2 linked regions of the Oryzias latipes genome follow. The protein of the gene in region 1 purifies or fractionates together with the protein of each later gene. This does not show direct contact. Links are inferred from orthologs where the notes say so. Each region holds a gene or a part of one and is shown on either strand. Other genes may lie near its edges.

The links.
Region 2: the proteins of cops5 (region 1) and klhl15 purify together in Homo sapiens (affinity purification with mass spectrometry; 3 studies listed by BioGRID and IntAct, with this or other methods). This does not show direct contact. The link is inferred for Oryzias latipes from reciprocal best matches to the Homo sapiens genes COPS5 and KLHL15.

Annotation. Positions count from the first base shown.
Region 1 is NC_019878.2:17,008,452-17,013,310, forward strand, and holds the start of cops5 (COP9 signalosome complex subunit 5), read left to right. Parts: upstream 1-1,788; 5' UTR 1,789-1,937; coding exon 1,938-2,074; intron 2,075-2,154; coding exon 2,155-2,389; intron 2,390-2,949; coding exon 2,950-3,078; intron 3,079-3,454; coding exon 3,455-3,520; intron 3,521-3,750; coding exon 3,751-3,836; intron 3,837-3,982; coding exon 3,983-4,094; intron 4,095-4,764; coding exon 4,765-4,859. Other genes in the region: cspp1 (centrosome and spindle pole-associated protein 1), read right to left, coding at 1-149, 268-369, 455-535, 658-717. UniProt on the Homo sapiens protein: Probable protease subunit of the COP9 signalosome complex (CSN), a complex involved in various cellular and developmental processes.
Region 2 is NC_019878.2:2,976,015-2,980,373, forward strand, and holds part of klhl15 (kelch-like protein 15), read right to left. Parts: intron 4,341-4,359; coding exon 4,202-4,340; intron 3,292-4,201; coding exon 3,103-3,291; intron 3,025-3,102; coding exon 2,800-3,024; intron 2,015-2,799; coding exon 1,853-2,014; intron 1,490-1,852; coding exon 1,280-1,489; intron 1,094-1,279; coding exon 903-1,093; intron 824-902; coding exon 64-823; 3' UTR 1-63. UniProt on the Homo sapiens protein: Substrate-specific adapter for CUL3 E3 ubiquitin-protein ligase complex.

The DNA of each region.
Region 1 (4,859 bases):
GTGCTTCTTTCTCCTGCATCCTCAGTCAGGGTGGCAGCGTCCGTCCTGGATGCAGTGTGCTCCCTGTCTGTGTTTGTGTTGGGTTTAATCAAGAGGTGATGATTTTCACCAGTTGAGTTCACAACCTTGGATGGTTGACTTTCTTCAGGCTGAAAGAAATAATATTAAATAGAGCTACCACAGCTATACAGCACAAATAACAAGACCAATTTCTTTATCAGGTAACCTGTATATTGGGAAAAATATCTTTGTTAGCTTGGATTTTACCTTAAAGGTGACAGGAAGGACTCTCCTATTTAATTTCCTTATTTGAGCTTGCTCCTGAAGAAATTGATTATATTCCTTTTTCAGCTCGTCTCTCAGTCTTTTCTGTTGCAAAAAAACCCCAAAATAAATAAATAAAAGGTATGAACAAGGCAATATAAAAAAAAAAATAGTGCACACAAGGACACACCTTTATGGATGCTCTATCATCAATAGGTAAGGAAAGCCCTTGGTGTTGTGGATGAGGTTCACAGGTTTTTAAATCGTGTTCCTTAAAAGGTACATGTAAGAATAAAAAATAGAAAAATAAGTTGGCAGAATGGAGAATCAGAGGTAACACAGTCAACAAAAATTCTCTTTAAATGATCCTATAATAATCGTATGATATCTGACCTTGGCTGCATGATATTTGAAGTCCAGCCGCAGATCCAGAAGAGGTTTCTGTTCCTCCATTTCACGCTCTGATACTAAGCCTCAGTTAAAACCTAGAGAGAGAGAAAAACATAGCAAATAAATAGCCAGTATAATTGGACTGATTGAAAATTAAAACTACCACAAATACTTCATCTTGTTTATGATAAGCTATATGGTTCCATATTTTGTGGATGCTAGAGTTTTACAAAATGCACATCACCTGCAAATGATGAAAAACATTCATACAGAAAGTTAGTTGTCCAAGGTCAGATTCAAGAACTTTCTCAGCATACAGGTGCATGCAAATTGAAAGTTAGGTGTTTTCCATTATAAACTCAAACAGCACAACCTGGCAGTGAACAAAGCTATAAAAATGAAACCTTAGATGAAACTCTAACTCTAAAGGATACATACTTAATTAATTAGACATTTTTATGACTATTCTGAATGTTTTCGCCGCACTAAAATGGCAACGCAGCAAGCGTTGCTATGGGCAACCGTGACACAAAGGTTGGCACAGGCTAAAGAAGTTAGCAAACACGAAACCACAAAAAACTCCGTATATCTAAAGTTTATGTGGTAATCATACAAACTTAATCGCATTTCAATAAAAATATCTTTGAAAATCCTAAACGTGCTTTCTAAGCTTTATAAGATGACAAACACGAAGTAACATTGATGTTTTACCTTTACTCTTGACCAATGACGTTCGCTAATGTGTTTTTTCGAGAAGTTTTTTTTTTTGCAGCATTAATAACTGTTATCTCCCATTAGGGTCTTTATTAGATATACAATGCATTAAATAAAAAACAAAGTTCTAAAAACAGGATAAAAAATATTCTCAAACCTGTCTGCTTTTTACAAGTCTCACCGCTAGATGCCAGTGCATCCTCAAGTGTCTGCTGACGTCTCTTTTGGACTAAACCATTATCAGAGGGGTGACAGTACCAGAATTGATGGGTACATTTAGCAGAACTTTTAACTCTTACATAAATTGTATTGATTTTTTCAATATATTATTAATGATCCATTTTAATACATAAAGATACGAAACTTCGACTTTTGTATTTTTCCAAATCAACAAAGAAAGGTTCAATCTTTCGACGTCATTGTTTTGGTATCGTTCCCTGTCATGGCTGCCGTTGCAAGAGAACGTCTGGCCCTGTTACTTTAGACGGATATACACAATTTCTTTGTTTGTGTTGTTGTCACTGACGTTCGAAACGCTTATTCTTCGTATTTTGAATTGACACTTTATCATGGCTGGAAGTAGTACAGCTCAGAAAACGTGGGAGCTGTCGAACAGCATGCAGGAAGTCCAGAGCATCGATGAAATTTACAAATACGACAAAAAACAACAACAAGAAATCCTCGCGGCGAAGCCGTGGACAAAAGAGTACTTTCAACCTGATTGACTTCATTCCTATTTGTTGTGTCGCGTAAACTAATTGTGTTTTCTTTTTCTCAAATCATTAGTCACCACTACTTCAAGTACTGCAAAATCTCCGCGTTGGCCCTGCTGAAGATGGTGATGCATGCCAGGTCAGGGGGGAACCTGGAGGTGATGGGTCTCATGCTGGGGAAGGTGGACGGGGAGACCATGATCATCATGGACAGCTTCGCTTTGCCTGTGGAGGGAACAGAAACCAGGGTGAACGCGCAGGCTGCAGCATACGAATACATGGCTGCCTACATTGAAAACGCCAAACAGGTGGGATCATGTTATTTTATTGTAAAAACATACACCAACACTGAAATGACACAGCAGCAATTACTTCTTCTTGACAGATTACACAGTTCCTGGTGGAATTGTTGAAAAACTGTCTCTTATTAAGATTTATTAGTCATAGGTTCTGTGTTCAGTATGTCAATATGTCTATTGAAGTGTTCTAATCTTTTATTTAGTTTCTATTGTCGTTATGACTGTTCTTCTTTTTTTTTTTTTGGTGGGCTACAGGTAGCCGGAATAAGTCCAGCCTGGATTTTCTTGAGTTGCTGTCCCGCTGTTTCCAGTTATCTTTGGGGATAGCAGAGCATTTATAATATTCATTTTTTTGTTTTTAAAAGCTTAAAAATAACTTCTATCCCCGACTGACCTATTGAAGTCTGTCTATTTCCTTTCATAAATAGTTTCCGTATTTTTTAGAAACTAAGCAAGCCACGTCAGATTTAGTAAAACCTTTTCATTGTATTAAACAATAAACACTTTATAATATTGTATTATAAATAATTATGAATAATTTTGTTATATTTATCTTTTTAACCCCCCAGGTTGGCCGTTTGGAGAATGCCATTGGCTGGTACCACAGTCACCCGGGTTACGGATGCTGGCTGTCAGGGATCGACGTGAGCACTCAGATGCTCAACCAGCAGTTTCAGGAGCCTTTTGTTGCTGTTGTTGTACGTATAAACTTTTATAACGTTATTTTAATGTAATTTCCTGCTAGTGGAATTTTTAAAAAATGAGGAGGAAAGTTCCTGTTTCGTCTTTAAAAAAAAAACATTACAAGAACGTAAATGAAAATCTATTAATGCATTCACTGCATGTTTTGGCATTGCACTACTGACTATTTTCCTTTTGCAACCCCATATGCTATTTACACGTCCTTTAGTTCAGCAGGGCTTCGACGCCAGGGGCGTCGTATAATTAAGTGTGTGTTTTTTTCACACTGACAGCTGCGGGAAAAAGGCTCCTAGTGAACTGATTCCAGTGGTCTCTGGAGGATTCCGACCTTTGACTTTGTTTTCCTGTTTTACTGTATCTTGTGTCCTACAGATCGACCCCACTCGGACTATTTCTGCAGGGAAAGTCAATCTAGGTGCCTTCAGAACATACCCAAAGGTACAGCAAAGACCAAGAGAAACATGGTGTTATGACTTATTGAAGTCATAAATTAAATTTTAAGTTCGAATCGTTGATGTTAGTTTTTTTAGGAGGGATCTGAATAAATATTTGTCATAAATATACATCAGAATGTCTTAATTTGTTTACTTGTTAATGATTAAACAAATGTGCTAATTCTTTTTTTTTATTTTGTATTATTTTTTAACATTTTCCTTGTGGATTTTCAGGGTTACAAACCTCCAGATGAAGGACCATCAGAATATCAAACAATCCCGCTGAACAAGATAGAAGACTTTGGTGTTCATTGTAAACAGTGAGTAAATTTAAAGCACTAAACCACTCTTAATAAATCAATCAATCAAACTTTATTTATCAAAACTTTATGTATCAAAGATGCATATATTTAACATGCTCCTGAATTATCTTTTTTTTCAACTCTTTATGATTGTCTCTATTCAGATATTACGCCTTGGAGGTGACTTACTTCAAGTCTTCTCTGGATCGAAAGCTCCTGGAACTCCTTTGGAACAAATATTGGGTCAATACCTTAAGTTCCTCCAGCCTTCTTACGGTATGTAAGCCACCTCAAAACTCAAAATGTTCACTAATTGTTTGACATTTTGATTTATGGTTAATTATTACTCTATAACTCATTCAGACATGGAGTCAACATGTTGTGATGTGTTGATTTATTGCTGCTTTTTAGCTGGCCCTGCTTGTTTATTGTTTTTAGTAATAAGGTCTTTGTGAACTTTGGAGCAGAAGAAGATGATGGGTATTAAAGTTGGACTTGACTCCACTCATCCAGAAGCCCCCCGCCCCTCGAGCACAGTTTTTTCTAAAGACTGAAAGGCCGTCACATGAATTTGCATTGTGGTCCTGAGCTGGGTTAAATAGACACCAGGCTTATCTAAACAGTTCACTCGCTGGCATTCTGGATGAAGATGTATTGACTAGATGTCAAGAAGGAGCTGCTCAGTAGGTGACGGGCTTTGTCAGTTGCTACACTGTCACCCTAGTCAGGCCCCCCCCATGGCATTGTGTTTTAATTACCTGCTCTACTATAAACACAGCCTCACCTTAAGCAAACTTCTCCATGACTTCTTTTCCTTCGGGACAGCTCAGAGATGGTTCGATTTGTGGCTAGTCTGTAACAAGTTCTTTCTATGGAACACTCTGTTATCTGGCTTTTGTGTGATAAGTGTGCGTACATTGGTTTATTCTGTCTCTTGGACGGCCAGAACTCGGACTACACCACGGGTCAGGTGTTTGACCTGTCGGAGAAACTGGAGCAGTCGGAGGCTCAGCTGGGCAGAGGAAGCTTCATGCTCGGGTT
Region 2 (4,359 bases), about 14 Mb from region 1:
AGCGTCAGAAGTCCCCCCACCCCCCACCTGTGAACACCTGGTTCCTCGGTGGAGCAGCAGACCTCAGCTGCAGCGCCGCACGTGCTCCAGCACGTACTCTGGGAAGTGCAGGCTGCACACCTGCAGACCGTCCAGTTTGCAAGGCATCCTGGGATACTCGTCTTCCTTCCACTTGTTTTCGTCGGGGTCAAAGGTGAGGATGGAGTCACTGTAGTGGCCGTTGTAACACAAACCGCCAAGTACCATGATCTGTCGGTCCAAAACCGCCACCCCGTGGCCGCTACGCCCAATGGGCATGGAGGCCAGGATGGTCCACTCGTCGGTGTCGGGGTCGTACACCTCTGTGGACGGACACCCCTGCGACTCGAAAGACGCTCGCAGGATGACGCACACGCCTCCAAACACGTACAGCTTCCCGTTGTGGGAGATCATCTTGTGGAAGCACCGAGCGTAGTTCATTTTGGACTTGTTCTCCCAGCAGCTGGCGTGCGTGCCGGGCAGCAGCGGGCCGCGGCCGGAGCGCGTCCTGTGTGAATCTGAGCCGCCCGAGCTCCCTCCTCCGCCGCCGCCGCCCGCCTCCCGCCCGGGATCGAACACGCACACTTGCTTGGACGTGGAGGATGAGGTGATGCCGCCGGTGATGTACAGCTTCCCGCTCAGAACCGTCCCCTCGTGGCCGTACTTGTTGACAGGATAAGGATCCACGAACTCCCAGCGGTCCTCTGTGATGTCATATCGCTCGGTGGAGTAAAAGGTCTCGTCTCGGGTGCGTCCCGCCACCGCGTAGATGTACTTTCCAATGACGCCAACAGCAAACTCCGACCTGCAAGCGACGCACACACACCAGGTGGAGTCAGAGAGCGTCGCGGGGTCAAAGGGCGGCAGTTTCCTCGGCCCCTCACCTGGGCACGGACATGTCCGCCATGCGCTGCCACGAGTTCTGCCGCGGGTCGTAACGGTAAACTTTAGAGGAGGCGTGGAATTCCCCGTCGGGCCCCAGCTCCTCCCCGCCCAGCAGGAAGGCAAAGTTGTTGATGATGGCCAGACAGTCCGGTCTGAGCGGCACCTGAGGGCCCTCCAGCTCCCACCACACCTGCAACCAGAGTCAGTGAGGCGTTCAGGCGCCGCCGGTCAGAGCAGACGCATAACAACGACTAAATTCTGTTCCGTTACAGCTGAATGAATAGATTAAAGGAAGAGAAGTCAGGATTTAAAGGACTTTTAAACTAATCTAAATATAACAAATACAGATAGAATTACAAGAAGGATTGTTCTTGACCTTTGGCCGCTGCAGCAGCAGGATCTTGCTGTTGACCATGCTGTGGCCGATCATCCCCCTGAAGACCGTCGTCTGCGGCCGCACGGAGCGGATGCGGTTGGACTGCGTCTCCACCAGAGGCTGCTGGTTGACATCCTGGAAGTAGCTGAGGGCCTGATCCACCTCCTGCCTCAGCTGCCTGGAGTACCGGTAGAACTCAGACGTCTTCACCTGAGAGGAAAACATTAGAGAACATCAGAAGGGATGCATGGTGTTCTGCAGAGTGGGAGGCATTATGGGTAGCAGCGCCTTGTAATAAAGGGAAATATAGAGAGAAGCCACAGTGGGAGAGACAGACATGAGCTGGAGCTGCAATGCACTCATATAAATGAGGGCAGTCATTCAGAGGGGTGACATTCTGAGCTTCTTTTGGGTTTAAACTTCATGAAGGCGCCCCACAGAGAGGGGAAGCTCTGCTCTCTGAAACTGATGGTGGAGCTGAAACAGCTGCTCCTCTAAGCTGAAAACCACAGAGATCCACATCTGCTGCAGTCAAAACATAAACCACAAATCTGCAAACGTGTCAGCCACCACCTTCTCGAAGATGTTGGCGGGCGTCATGAGACAGAAGCGGATGGACTGCACGATGGTGTCCGTGTGCCTCCAGCGCCGCCGGTCGTGTCTCAGCCAGGCCTGGACGGCTTCGTACAGCTCGATCTCGGGGAAACGGCTCAGGGCGTCGCTGTTCAGGTACGCCTGTTCAGACAGAAACACGAGAGATGCATTATGGTTCTGACCTTACTGCAACGACTGCTGGCTGCTTAACCTACGTTTAGTTTGACCTAAATTAGTTCAAATGATCAAGTCTGTTCTCAAAAAGACACACAAACAAAAATCACACTGCTGAGTCCGAGGATTTCATCAGAATTCAGCCTAAATCGGATGTTTTGGTTTCCTCTCTGTACTGACAGTTCCTATCTGGCACGCTTAACGCCTGTGTGGTGAGCTAGAAAGGCTGCCGTGGTGCAGAGAGCGGGCAGTCGACCTCTGGTAGGAAGACTGCAGGTTCGATTCCTGCCTTGCCTGAACCCCCCCTTGCCTCTGGTGGAAGGTTGGCCACAGTGTTCGGCAGCGGAGCCGCCATCGGTGTGTGAAACGGGACTGTGACTGTAAAGCGCTTTGGACCTTCGGGGGAGGTAGAAAAGCGCTGAACAAGTAAACGCCATTTACCATTTAACGCCTGTGTGGTGAGGCAGAAACGGATCATTTTAGCGTTTGATCCTGGACCCAAACAAAGAAGCAGAACATGGAAACACGATGCAAAAACTCAGGGCGTCCTCAGAGAGGAGCGGCATTTCCAGATTACACCCAGATCCTGTTGCTGGAGAAGCTTCTTGTTTCAGGACCAGTTTAGGTTTAAAGATGAGATGGAATCGAGCTCTTCTCCTCATCGTTTGACTGAATCATTTTGTTGCCTGACCTGACCTGCTGTCAGCGTTCGGCGGCCTCATGCACGCGCTGAGCGTCTGTCTGTGGCAAACCTGCAGTCTCTCGAGGCTGAGGTAGGACAGGAAGTCGGCTCGGCTCATGAGAGGCACAAAGTTGTCAAGCAGGAAGTTGTCGAGCTGCTCCTGGACGCCCTCCACGCCCACGCTGAAGTCCTCCAGGAGCCGCATGACCTCAGCACAGTTCTCCAGGCAGATCTTCGCCAGCAGGAAGGAGCAGCAGAACTCCACCGCCTCGGTCAGCTGGACGTACATGGCCGCCTGCCGGGTCAGAACAGGTGTATCCCGTCAGCTCTGGTAAAGCTACAGCTTTCTGTGTCGTGGCGGGGATCCAGTTACCTGCAGGATCTCCTGCACGGTGGGCATGCTGAGCTCCAGCGAGCCGTAGTACATGAAGCGCAGGATGTGGCCGAAGCCGGCGGCCGTCAGCCCCTTCATGTGGATCTTGTCCTGGTCCCTCTCCCTCATGTCTGCAGTGAACATGACCCGGAAGTAGTCACTCTGAGTCGCCAGGAGCGCCTTGTGGGCCTGAAGGAGAAGAATCAACACATCAAGTCCTCTGGACCGTTCACTGGCTGAAGCCCAGCAGCAGCAGCAGCAGCAGCAGCAGCAGCGGCAGCGATGCACACATACACAGTGAACTCGGGAACACAAGGAGTTCATTAGCAATTCACCTCTGAGTTGTGGGCGAGACTGTTGGCATGGAGCAACCCCGCCCCTCTTCCCTCCGTGCATAATCCCGCTATCTTAAAGCTCCTCACAACCCCAAGCTAACATTAGCGGTACAACAAAAATTGTTAGCAATATCGTAGCTGTCCATCCGTCCAGTTCTGATCCAGATTCCAGTTCAGACCATGGAAACAAAGACGTTCGTGGATCTGTTTGTCTGACAGTGGATGATCAGAATGGAGCGGAGCAGGAAGACTGTAGCCTTCCCAGTGCAGCTTCTACATCACAAATACGATTGTTTCCAAACAGCATTCGTTCCTCTACTCCTGACTTACAACCATTTAAATAAATAAATACTCAGAAATGTAACTTTAAGCTTGTTTTTCTTCATCTACATCCTCCATCATGAGGAAAAAGCCACAAAAACATGTTAAAAACACCAAAAACATCTATCTTTTCCAGTGAGTGGGTCTTTAAGGGCCACTTTCCTGCTTTACTTCCAACAGCCCTGCTGGGGAAACCCCTCTAAGAAACACACCTGATGCAGGTGAACAGCAGCAGCAGAGGCAGGGATAACAGCACAACTGAATGCAGCTGTGCAGCTCAGCGGTTTGGGTTGGTCCGCCCCAAAACGCCTCTGCTTTGACCTCAGACGAGGCCTCTGAAGAAACCACACGAGGAGTTCAGGAGCGCGTCTCCAAACCCCCCCCCCCCCCCCCCCCCCCCCCCGTAAAAGTCCCCTCCACGGGTTCACTAAACGGTTCCTCACCTGGAAGTGGTGCTCCTCTATCAGCAGCGTGACGTCCAGCAGCAGGCGCTCCTCGTAGAGCGCCCGGAAGCCCGACGACACGCTGCCGTCGTGCACCTGGGACAGGTACACCTCCACATCCGCCCCCGACATCACACACCTGTGGGAGAAGGCGGAGT